Diceros bicornis minor: one gene and its partners. The protein of the gene in region 1 interacts with the protein of each later gene in a pairwise test. Links are inferred from orthologs where the notes say so. Each region holds a gene or a part of one and is shown in the gene's direction. Other genes may lie near its edges.

Region 1 (3,748 bases):
ATTTTAGATGACTACCTTCCTTCATCTAAAATCACCCAAATGAGGATGCAGCATGAACACCGTCCCTTCCTGAATTTAGCCGTTACTGACCTACACACTGTGGATGAAAAACCAGGGAACAGCAGCTCTGGGGGATGGGAGGACTTAGGGTCCAGCCCTGCCCAGGCCACCCCGTGTCCAATTTCTCTGTGTCAGCTGTGTCACTCAGCTGTCCACTTTGCTCCAGCCCTGTCATTTCAGCTCTGACACCAAGGCGAGAGGCTAAGAGGTCTACAAATACCGTCTGGGTAGCTGGTGTGAGTACACAGGGTAGTGGGGGGGCTTAGCCCCCAAGGAAGAAGACCAGTCCTCCCCCAGCACCACCATCAAGACCCCAGGTGCTCCCTCCTCCCTCCACAGACTCTGGACTGACTAGGGAATCCCAAACGTAAGTTGCCTTGTCATCCTCTTCCCATTTCCAGGACTGCTTACCCCAGCTTCCCCAATCCGTAGTCTGTTCAGCTTATTTCTCTCCTCCTCTGTGAGTAGTTTGGGTTTTAGGAGTGAAATTTATTATTCTACTCCAGAACAAGAGTTAGGATTGGAAGGTGGGGTGGGGGTGGGGTCAAGGTAATGGAGTAGTAAGGGAAGGAAAGGCTCATATTACTCTGAAAACTTAAAATAGCTGAGGGCTGAGGCAGGCTGGGAACTAAGCACTGGGCCCCTGGGGCTCAAGAAAGAGGGGAGAACAAATGTCCCCAGCCCATCCCATCATGCATGCTATGGACACACACATTAAACTTGCTGAAGAAAGGGGATCTGGGAAGGTGTATGTCATGTCTCTACTGCACACAAAGTACCTGTAGGAAATGCCCTAAACCGTACAGACTTGAGCACTGTGTTGGGGCTGTAAACTCGGGTTGTCCCTCAGGGTGGAAGGATGGGTATCAGTTTGAGGAACTGGTTGGGAAGTTCTTGAGTCTGTTGGGCTTTTCTCTGGACTTCCGTGGAAACTTTCTGTTCATAAGCCTGTGAAAGGATCCCTGTTTAACCAAATTTCCCCTGAAGCCTCCTCTTCAAGGACCACCCTACTGTGAGGGACAGGAATAGGGAGGGAAGAATGGCAGGCAGAGGTGACATTTCATAGTGGGGTCTGACCTCTTGCAGGATGACAGAGAAGGAGGTGCTGGAGTCCCCTAAGCCCCCCTTCCCAGCAGAGACTCGGCAAAGTGGGGTGAGTCTGGGCCTCTGACCACCAGCTGTGGGGAGCTGGGAAGCCATGGCAACCCTTGATGAAAAGCGCTTGAGTTGATCTCACTAGTATGTGACTCATTTATTGTTAGAATGCTAGCCAGCACCTGCAGCCCCCAATACCCCCCAATGCTGGGCTGTGCCCCTTGCCCGAGGCTAGAAAAATGTCTAGTCAGCTTCCACCTTACCTCCTCTAGAAAGCATGACAGTTCTTTTAACATTGGGTTTCCTTCCCTCCTTCCCTGCCTCCCTCAGCTACAGCGGCTGAAGCAGTTATTCAGGAAGGAGTCCACAGTGACAAAGGAGATGGAGCTGCCCCCAGAGCCCCAGGCTAATGGGGAGGCAGTGGGAGCTGGGGCTGGGCCCATCTACTACATCTATGAGGAAGAGGAGGAGGAAGAGGAGGAGGAGGAGCCACCCCCAGAACCTCCTAAGCTTGTCAATGATAAGCCCCACAAATTCAAAGATCATTTCTTCAAGAAGCCCAAGTTCTGTGATGTCTGTGCCCGGATGATTGTGCGTGAGTCTTGAAGGGAAGTGGAGAGAGTGTGATGTCGAAGGCAGGGGGCGGGGACAGAGTTTAGGAGAGGGGTATTTGTATCACAGACAGGCTTTGGCATGATTTTGGCTTTAAGAAAATACTATTAGAGACTGAGAATGTTGGCTCCCAGACAGAAAAGGGACTAAGAGCTCGAGGAGCAGCTGTGGCATGAGGGAAGGGAGCTCAGGGACCTCACCCAAACATTCTCCCCTCTCCCAAGTCAACAACAAATTTGGGCTTCGCTGCAAGAACTGCAAAACTAACATCCACGAACACTGTCAGTCCTACGTGGAAATGCAGAGGTGCTTCGGGAAGATCGTGAGTAGACCTTGGGAGCAAGAAAGTAGAAGGGAGGGGCGTGTTGCCAGCTACCCTCTTGCCAGTCCCTCCTCAAGTCATCCCGTCCATTTCCCTGCTGCTTCTTTCTCAGCCCATCTCTTACTCTAAGAAGAGGTGAGCACTCATGGGAGAGATGGGTTCTGGGCCCTTCCTTGCTATCTCTAATGTTTTCTCCCATCCCCTCCTACAGCCCCCTGGTTTCCATCGGGCCTATAGCTCCCCACTCTACAGCAACCAGCAGTACGCTTGTGTCAAAGATCTCTGTAAGTGCCCCCTATGGGACCTGAGGGAACGGGCAAGCCTAGAGACCGTGTCAGCACCACCTTTAGATTTGGAAGCAAATTCTGAAACAGAAAGATCCTATTTCACAAGATTGTCTCTCAAGCTAAACTTTTAGCCATCTTGGATGCAGTCAATATTCCCATTTTATAGCTGAGGGAGATAAGATTTAGCTAGGGCTTCACACAGATAACAAGAGACAGAGCCAAGACTGAAACCTTCATCTGCCTAACTTCAAAATCTGTGCTCTTCATATATGAAACCATTTCTAAGCAAGAACAAGGATTTTAGACTCTCTACATCCTGGTTACAGAATAATGCCAAACTCAAAGCCAGACCAAGAGCTGTGAGCATCCTGGGCAGATTCATAATTTGGCAACCCTTCAAAAAGTATTCATTGACAATTTCTCAAGATTTATTTGGAGGAGAGGCTGAACTCTGTGAGGAGCATGGGTGGAAAAAGAAGAACCCACCGGTGTTAGCATCCCCGCTTACACATGCCACTCAGCAGAACAAAAGCCAGCAGTTAAAAGACCACTCTCCTTAGAAGGAGAATAGTGATTCTGAGGATTCCCCAACTCCCAAGCAGCATGTTAGCAAAGCTGTCTTTCCAACATCATATAATGCTCTGCCTAGAAGGAGTGCTGGTAAACATTTTTCTCTATCACATTACATTTCCAGGGATATTTTTAGAGCTCTTTATAGATTGATGACCTAGGTAGCCCAGCTGACCCTTCCCTAATCCTACACAAACATGCGCACATGCATGCATGTCTATCTGCTCAGTCCCACCTCTCCCTTACTTAGGAGGTCTCTCTTTCCTTCAAGCCTTTCTCTGCCTCCGCAGTAATGTCTTCTTTCTTTTCCCATTCCCGCTAGCTGCTGCCAATCGCAATGACCCTGTGTTTGAAACCCTGCGCACTGGGGTGATCATGGCAAACAAGGAACGGAAGAAGGGACAGGCAGATAAGAAGAATGTGAGCACCATACCTTCCTACTGAGGTCCCTTCCAGAGACCCTGTGGAGCAGGTCCTCCCTCCTCTCTGGAAAGCTGACAGAAGCTAGGGATCCTCTCCCTCTAAAATTGCACATAACCCAACAGATACATTTTTGTGTGCAATTTTAGAGGGCCTCAGGTTAACAACTCCTGCCATAGTGTGTTTTCTCCAGGAACTCCCTTCTGAAATTGTCAGATTAACCACCAACAAACTGAAGCCTAGGCCCCAGGCCCCTGGCATTGCTGGGCACCAGAGACAAGAGCAATGCTTTTGGATTTGGGAAAGAGAACTTGCCATGCCACGTAATCAGAGAATTTTAGAGCCATGCAAGGGTCCATGAAGATCATCTGGTCTGACCCAT
Region 2 (3,748 bases), on another chromosome or scaffold:
GAAAGCCAGGGTTAGGTCATTCAGGGTCTTGTGGAGTGTTTGGATTTTATTCAAAGTGCATGGGGAAGCTATTAGGCGTTTTAAGCAAGAAAATGAATATGAGCTGGTTTATGATTTTAAAAGATCACCTGTGTGGATTAAAGAAGGGGGTGATTCAAACAGGGAGACCAGATGGAGGGCTGTTGCAGTGGACCAGTGGCTTGTATTAGGGTGGTAGTGGTGGAGGCATACAGGATATATTTTGTCGCCTCCCCCCCAAAGCCCCAGTAGATAGTTGTATGTCATAGCTGCACATCCTTCTAGTTGCTGTATGTGGGATGCGGCCTCACATGGCTGGAGAAGCGGTGCGTCGGTGCGCGCTGGGGATCCGAACCGGGCCGCCAGCATCGGAGTGTGAGCACTTAACCACTAAGCCACGGGCCGGCCTGTACAGGATATATTTTGGAGGTAGAAGAACCAACAGTACTTGTCCATAATGTGGATATTGGGGTTGGGGATAGAAGGGATTGAAGGAAAGAAAAAAATTAAGGAAGATTTTCACATCTATGTGGTGAACCTCAAATTTAGAAATATATTTAACATATATTCAGCCTCCACTTATTACATTTAATTTCTTAATTAATTGGAGCACAGCATAGCATAGGCAAAGAACTTGGACTAAATCTTAAATTCCAGTCCTATGTGATCTTGGAAAGTGTCTAAACCCTAACAGCCACTGTTGCCTCATCTTTAAAACGATGATTGGATGTCTGCGGATTTGAGATGTTTGTAAAGCTCCACAAGAATGCCTAGAGCTCCCAGCGTGTAAGAAGGTTGTGGGAAATCCAAACGCGACGAGGTGGCGAGCCTCATAGTCCAGGTTTTATTTAGAAGATGGTGACGGAGGGCGAGTGTTGCAGGATTTTGAGCATGCAGGACATCTACAGCATTGGGCATAAGAGTATTCCAGTCGGCCTGAATTGGAAATGAGTCTCTCTGCTAGGCATTCCGGCCCAACGGCACCTGAAATTTCTAATCAGGGAGAATGCGAGGTTATCCCTGCAGCCTGGAACAGTACCTGACTACCGTAGGTGCTCAATAATTGTTTAATGAAGGATGGGGTAGGGGTGAAGGGAAGACGCTGACGTAGAGGTAGGAAAACTGTCCGCAACAGCCGCTGGAAGGCCCGAGCTCGGGATTTTCACGTCGCTGTAGCAACGCCCCGCTCCACGCGCACGCACCCGGGAACTACAAGTCCCACAAGCGTCCGCGGCTTTCCCGCCCCCGGGGAGGAGGGGCGCGAGCGAGCGCGGAACCAGCTTTCCCTCTTTCCTGAAGCGTGATTGGTCCGCGGCTCTGGGAGACGGCCAATGAGTGCGCTCGCGAGAGCGGCGAGGCCAATATGGCTTCCTGCGCCTGGTGACGGTTAAAGACCCTGTCTTGGGTCTCATGGAGAAGCCCCGGGGAGTCGAGGTGAGGGGGGAAGGACTTATCGTGACTGAGAAGGGGAACCCCGAGAGCCTCACTCGTGGACCCTTTAGGCCTTTTAGTGAAGGCTGGAGGGCGGAGTGTGGAAAGATGGATAGACGGAGGTAGTTAGGCTTGACCCGGGCCAGAGGCGGTCGCTGTTGCCTGTTGAGAAATGTATAAACAAGAGTAATGATCCTGGTGTTTGCAAAAGGGGTATTTGATTCTGCCTGCCACTTTGCCCAAGAGTGTTGACTTCACCAAGAACTGGAACGGGAGCTGGTAGATCTGCCACCTCCCTCCCCATACACTAAACCAACCATGATTCCTTCTGCCTGTTTCCTTCCACCAGGAGACTCCGTCTTCAGAACCAATGGAGGAAGAAGAGGAAGATGACGACTTGGAGCTCTTTGGTGGCTATGACAGTTTCCGGAGTTATAACAGCAGTGCGGGCAGTGAGAGCAGCTCCTACCTAGAGGAGTCAAGTGAAGCAGAAAATGAGGATCGGGAAGCAGGGGAGCTGCCCACTTCCCCGCTGCATTTGCTCAGCCCTGGGACTCCCCGCTCCTTGGATGGCAGTGGTTCTGAGCCAGGTGCCTTCAGAGTGCCCCCTGAAGATGGGGAGGTTTCAGGAGGCTATGGAGGAAGAGGGGGATAGAGCCATGTGGGCAGAGCCCTCCAGGTGTAAAGGGCTGTTTGATCTGATGTCTAAGGGCCTGTGAGAGAGACAGAGCATCCCAAGTAGCCCCAAGGGTCATTTCTTCTGCAGTAGTCTGATTTCGTTCATACAACTAGTATTTATTTAGCACACATTACATGCCAGTCATTAACATGGTGCTGCTTGTACATTTGTGTGAATAGCTAGTGGATTTCTAAGCCTGGAGGTTGAGAAGGTAGAACACTTGTTCTGGTTACTATCTGGGTAGGGACAAGAAATAGCTTGCGGGGTGGGAGTGAGGGGGAGGGAAATATAGAATAAAGTGACCTCCAAGTAAGAGGAGTAGGGTGGAGGTGAGCAGATAAGAATCCCCATGGATCATCTGGAAGCCACTTGGCTTCAGAGTTGTGATCTTGGACAGCTGCTGGACCCCACTGTCAGTGCCTCCAGCGTGTGGACTGCCTGTGAAAAGAGGCCGGCTAGACAATTTGTAATAACACTCCTGTTGCTTGGTACCTGAACTTTTCAGAAGAGAATACTCTTGCCAGTTGAATCTTATTTCCTTTCTATTTGTCATGTCTTCCCTTCCTCTCTCCTTTCTTTTATCTTTCTCCCCTCTATCTTCTTCAACCATTCTTTTAGAATCTTAGAACTTTAGAACTAGAAGGAACCATTAGAGACCATCTAGTGCAGGGGTTCTTTAGCCTGGCTGTGCATTAGAATCACCTGGGGGGAGGGGGCGGGCCCCGTGGCTTAGCCGTTAAGCGTGCGTGCTCTGCTACTGGCGGCCGGGGTTCGGATCCTGGCCGTGCACCGACGCACCGCTTGTTGGGCCATGCTGAGGCGGCGTCCCACATACAGCAACTAGAAGGATGTGCAACTATGACATACAACTATCTACTGGGGCTTTGGGGAGGAAAAAAAGCAAAAAAAAAAAGAGGAGGATTGGCAATAGATGTTAGCTCAGGGCCCGTCTTCCTCAGCAAAAAGAGGAGAATTGGCATGGATGTTAGCTCAGGGCTGATCTGCCTCACACACACACACACACAAAAAAGAATCGCTTGGGGAGCTTCTAACAAACTGGAAATGCCTGGGTCCCACCACAGACCAGCTAATTAGAATCTCAGGCTTGGGCAGTTTTAAAAGCTCCTCAAGTGATTCTAATACGATGTCAAGGTTGAAACATTGATTTAGTTCAGTCTCTTTATAGAAGAGAAGAAAATGGACCCACAGAAGTTAAGTGATGTGAGCACTTTTTTCCTTCTCAGTTTTCTCTTCGCAAACTTTCCTCACCTGTTTCCTCTGTCATCCTCATGGATTTTCCTTAGCGCCACTGTTGACACGTGTAGCCAAGGGATGCCAAGCAGCTTATCTTGGGTGAAATAGGTTCAGATGGACACCCCAGAACTTCCTTCTCTTCCAGTTCTGCCAGCCTTAGGGGGACTGAGACTTAACCCGGTAAATGCAGTGCCCCAGCTTTTGAAGGGCCCATCGTTTTGTTTGATTTGGGGTAACCGCATCAGGTGAGTCATGTGCTAAGTTCTCTTCCCAGCTGTCTGTGAGATGTGTGGTATCGTGGGTACAAGGGAAGCCTTCTTCTCCAAGACCAAGAGATTCTGCAGTGTCTCCTGTTCCAGGAGCTAC
Region 3 (3,748 bases), on another chromosome or scaffold:
GGCCAGGTTTTGAGAACTTCAGGCTAACATCTGACAAAAACTTCAGAATAGGCTCATCATACTTCTGAATCATGGGCCCAAGCTTGTCAACATTCTTTAAAACAGTCAGCCAGTAGTCAGGAATGCCTTTAGGATCTTCTTTTTTAGGCTTTCCCTTACGAGCTCTTTTAAGATTCACTCTTTCTTTAGGCCTGACCTCAGGAACTCTTTTAGAAGCCTCTTTTACTCCAGCCCTTGCCTTAGCCTCTACTGCCTTAGGCTGTCCTTTATCTTCTGCCTTTGCCTGGGGGACTTCTTTAGCATCTTCTTTTACTTCAGGCTTTGCCTCCAGCAAATCTTTAGACTCTGCTTTTTCTTCAGCCTTTGCCTCAGGAATTTCGTTAGGTACCTCATTTTCTTCAGCCTTTACCTCAAGTTTTTCTTTAGGGTCGTCTTCTTCCTCACCTTCTAAGGCAGGCATTTCACTAGGGCTGTCTTCCTGCACCTCCTCATCACTGCTGAACACCTCATCCTCTGAATTCCATTCACATTCTTCTTCTGTAGGTTCATATTCTGCATTGATGATTTGAAATCGCCGATCATATAGAGGCTTATTGAGTTCAGCATATTTTCGTTCGAGATCGTGAATTGCCTTTAAGAACAGAGCGTCTACCTTGTCACATTCATCTTGAATATTTCTGAGCGCCTGCACACGATTTCTAACTGACTGAGGCAGCCGGTCCACGAAATTTTTACCCGACGGAGCCCGCCGCGCCCTTCTGGAAGGCCCAGGTACCCTCTTCTTTCTATATAAGCGGCTGCGGCTACTGCTGCTGCCACTGCTGCTGTAACTAGTGCTTCTGCTCGAGCTACTGCTGTCAGATTCTTCCCCAGAATCGCTAGACGAGCTAGCCAGCATCTCTTCAGCAACCCCCTGGGCGGCAGGTCCCGAGACCATGTTAAGATCCGCTTCTGCCATTTTGCAAGCCAGTAAACCTCTAAAGGTGGTGACTACTGCTGAGACCGCGCGCCCAGAGATGGGCAGAAAATGACTCACGGATGCTTGGGTGGCGGCAGCGGCCCGGGCTGAGAAGGTGGCAGCGGCGAAGGCAGCAGCAGCGTGGGGCGGGACTGGGCTGCGGCGATCGCGCGGAGGTGACAGCGGCAGTGGAAGCCTGCGCGAGAGCGGCGGTGGCAAGGCCTCTCCCGGCTGCCGCCGCGGTGGACAGAGGCGTGCCGCAGCCGAATAGCGCTGTGTGAGACCCCAAGTTCTCTTCACGGTTTAGATCGGCAGCCCCCTCCCCTTGCAGTCAGACCTCCTGTTAGTTTAGTTCCCAGGGTGCCTTTAGCTCGCGCCTCATTTGCTGGGCAAGTTTGATTGACAGTCCCTAAGCCCAATGAATGACCAAACGCACCGCCCGCCTTCCAGGCTCCGCCCATCTTCCCAGACGCTCCTTGGTAGCTGAGGCACACACCCCTGGAAGACGATTTTTCCCCTTTAAATTCTACCTTTATAGTTTTATAATTCAAAAAAAAAAAGCTTAGATATGAGGTAAAAATACTAGCCATAGTTCCTAACAAGGGAAGAGGAGTATCTTTCTCCCATCCGCTCATCCTAAATTCCCGTTTGGTTTATCAGGGGCCTCTTGACAAAAATCTGTTTTTAAAAAATTGGATGAAAGTACTCCAAGTGGCATCATTGGGTAGTGTGATTATGGATGATTTTTTTTAATCTATTTTATCTAAATATTCTATGAGCATGTATTTTTACACTGGAAAAAAGGAGAGTCGTTTATTGGCAAAGGAGGGAGGGGCTAGAAAGCAGGCATGTTGCATTCCACGTAGCAGTTTTAATAAGTGCTGTCTGTGATGTTTGGCAAGCCTGCTTTATATCCATCTACAAGGTTTTCGAGCCCATGTTGCCGTGAGTCAGTTGCACCATTTTTACTATATTTCTCTCTTTAAGCTGGCGTATAATGTACCTCAACCTTGCTGCTGACTTGCCAGTTAGCCCTTCAAACCTTGTAGATAAAATAAAAGGGTATTCAAATGTTAGGTAGTATTGTTTAAAAGCAGAAGGTTTGCTCTATACTTTTGTGCAGCAGTTTTCAATTCCACAAACAGCAGAATGGGAGGGGAATTTGTGCTGATAAACGTGCATCCTCTGTCAATATATACTTCACAATGTCATCTACCACCAATTTCCTTCTAACATTGTAAAATTCTAGCCATATTAAAAGTATGATTTACAAGTCCAGAAATATGTGAATAAACTTTTGCAAAATGAAATTTAAAAACAGGTATCTGTTATTTTTATTTACAGGATTCTTTTCTGCTACAGAACAACTCCCTTGGTACATCCAAAAAGACCAGTGTTTACCTTTCATTAAAAGGTAAGGAACATATTTAGCCCATTTTTATGAATGACAAGAATTACCTACCTGTATTTGAATAAAAATTCACAGAATATAGTCTTTTAAAGACTTAATTGGAAGATATCTTGATATTTCTATGGAAGCAGAAAAATCCACGGAGGTGATTTGACATACTAATGTAGAAAATAGCCTAATTAATCACATTCACTATCTAAACCTGCTCATAGAATACAAGCAGTAAATTAAAATATGAATTATTTTATTTTAAATGAGGAAAATGTTAGATTAACTTTTATGTTACTTTTTTATTGTAGGATTTGTGCTTTGTCGTTTCATCATATATTTTATAAAAAATTAGGAAGCACTAGTCTTCTATTTTGTAAATGGATCTACTTTTATTGTTTATTTCTGATTGTCAAAGTATATAAGCATTTTAAAGAAAAAATACAATATAGAAAATTCCAATGATAGTAAAAATACACAATCTTAACAACCAAACTATAGCCATTGTTAGCATTTTGATGCATTTCCTTCCAGAAATTTCTTTGTACATATACACACCTGCCTATTTATATACACTGTTTTATCTATGTGACATCATATTATGTTTTGTAATCTGCTCATTTAATTTATCAATTAATTGTGGCTATATTTTCATGGTAAATAATCAACATCTTATTTTAAAATAGATACATATTCCATGGAAATATTTGCCTTAATTTATTTAACCAGATTCCTGTTATAGGGCACCTATTTCCCACACTCTCTCTCCACTAACATACATATATTTTCCTGTTATAAGAAAATTAGCCCTGGATATGTACTGTATGCACTTGTGAAAATTACTCACAGGATGAATTCCTAGAAAGGAGAGGGCTGGAATAAATTGTGTGCTCATTTTACTCTTTGATACATATTGCCAAACTTCTCTCCAGAAAAGTTATCACAATTTACAGTCCCATCAACAATGAATGAGTTCATTTATTTAGTCATTCAGCTAATATATTCCTGTGCTTGCCATGTGCCAAGCATATGTGGTAGAGGATAGCAATAGAATGGTGAATAAAACTTACTAGGTGCATATCTTTTCATTTCATAATTTAAATCAAAACATATACTGTGAAAATGATTTAAATCAATAGAGTTATGACATAAATATTGTTCTACAACTTATTTTCATTTAAAATGATGGACATTTTTTTTAATGAATGATCTTACATTTTTATAGCACTTTAATGGTTTCATATACATGTTAAATTTTGTACCATCAGGAATTAGTATTTTGGAGTAAGAAATGAATTAGGGATCCGTATTTTTAAAAAATATATGTTTTTATTAGCAAATAAAATCTAATAAGTAAAAATTATAAAAAATAAAGGTCTGCTCTCTGTTTC

Evidence for each region. The genes of interacting proteins can lie anywhere in the genome.
Region 2: the proteins of STAC3 (region 1) and L3MBTL2 interact in binary tests that used the Homo sapiens proteins (3 or more experiments, as listed by UniProt). The two-hybrid records come from large-scale screens. The link is inferred for Diceros bicornis minor from reciprocal best matches to the Homo sapiens genes STAC3 and L3MBTL2.
Region 3: the proteins of STAC3 (region 1) and FAM133A interact in binary tests that used the Homo sapiens proteins (3 or more experiments, as listed by UniProt). The two-hybrid records come from large-scale screens. The link is inferred for Diceros bicornis minor from reciprocal best matches to the Homo sapiens genes STAC3 and FAM133A.

What each region holds. Positions count from the first base shown.
Region 1 is NC_080756.1:11,655,887-11,659,634, forward strand, and holds the start of STAC3 (SH3 and cysteine-rich domain-containing protein 3), read left to right. Parts: upstream 1-1,227; 5' UTR 1,228-1,323; coding exon 1,324-1,750; intron 1,751-1,991; coding exon 1,992-2,089; exon of another isoform or gene 2,090-2,234; coding exon of another isoform or gene 2,235-2,300; coding exon 2,301-2,373; intron 2,374-3,268; coding exon 3,269-3,366; intron 3,367-3,748. UniProt on the Homo sapiens protein: Required for normal excitation-contraction coupling in skeletal muscle and for normal muscle contraction in response to membrane depolarization. Required for normal Ca(2+) release from the sarcplasmic reticulum, which ultimately leads to muscle contraction.
Region 2 is NC_080764.1:9,163,033-9,166,780, reverse strand, and holds the start of L3MBTL2 (lethal(3)malignant brain tumor-like protein 2), read left to right. Parts: upstream 1-1,346; 5' UTR 1,347-1,428; coding exon 1,429-1,452; intron 1,453-1,798; coding exon 1,799-2,039; intron 2,040-3,656; coding exon 3,657-3,748. UniProt on the Homo sapiens protein: Putative Polycomb group (PcG) protein. PcG proteins maintain the transcriptionally repressive state of genes, probably via a modification of chromatin, rendering it heritably changed in its expressibility.
Region 3 is NC_080781.1:87,221,728-87,225,475, forward strand, and holds the start of FAM133A (protein FAM133A), read left to right. Parts: upstream 1-1,479; 5' UTR 1,480-1,531; intron 1,532-1,848; exon of another isoform or gene 1,849-1,903; intron 1,904-2,302; 5' UTR 2,303-2,372; intron 2,373-3,748. Other genes in the region: NAP1L3 (nucleosome assembly protein 1-like 3), read right to left, coding at 1-958.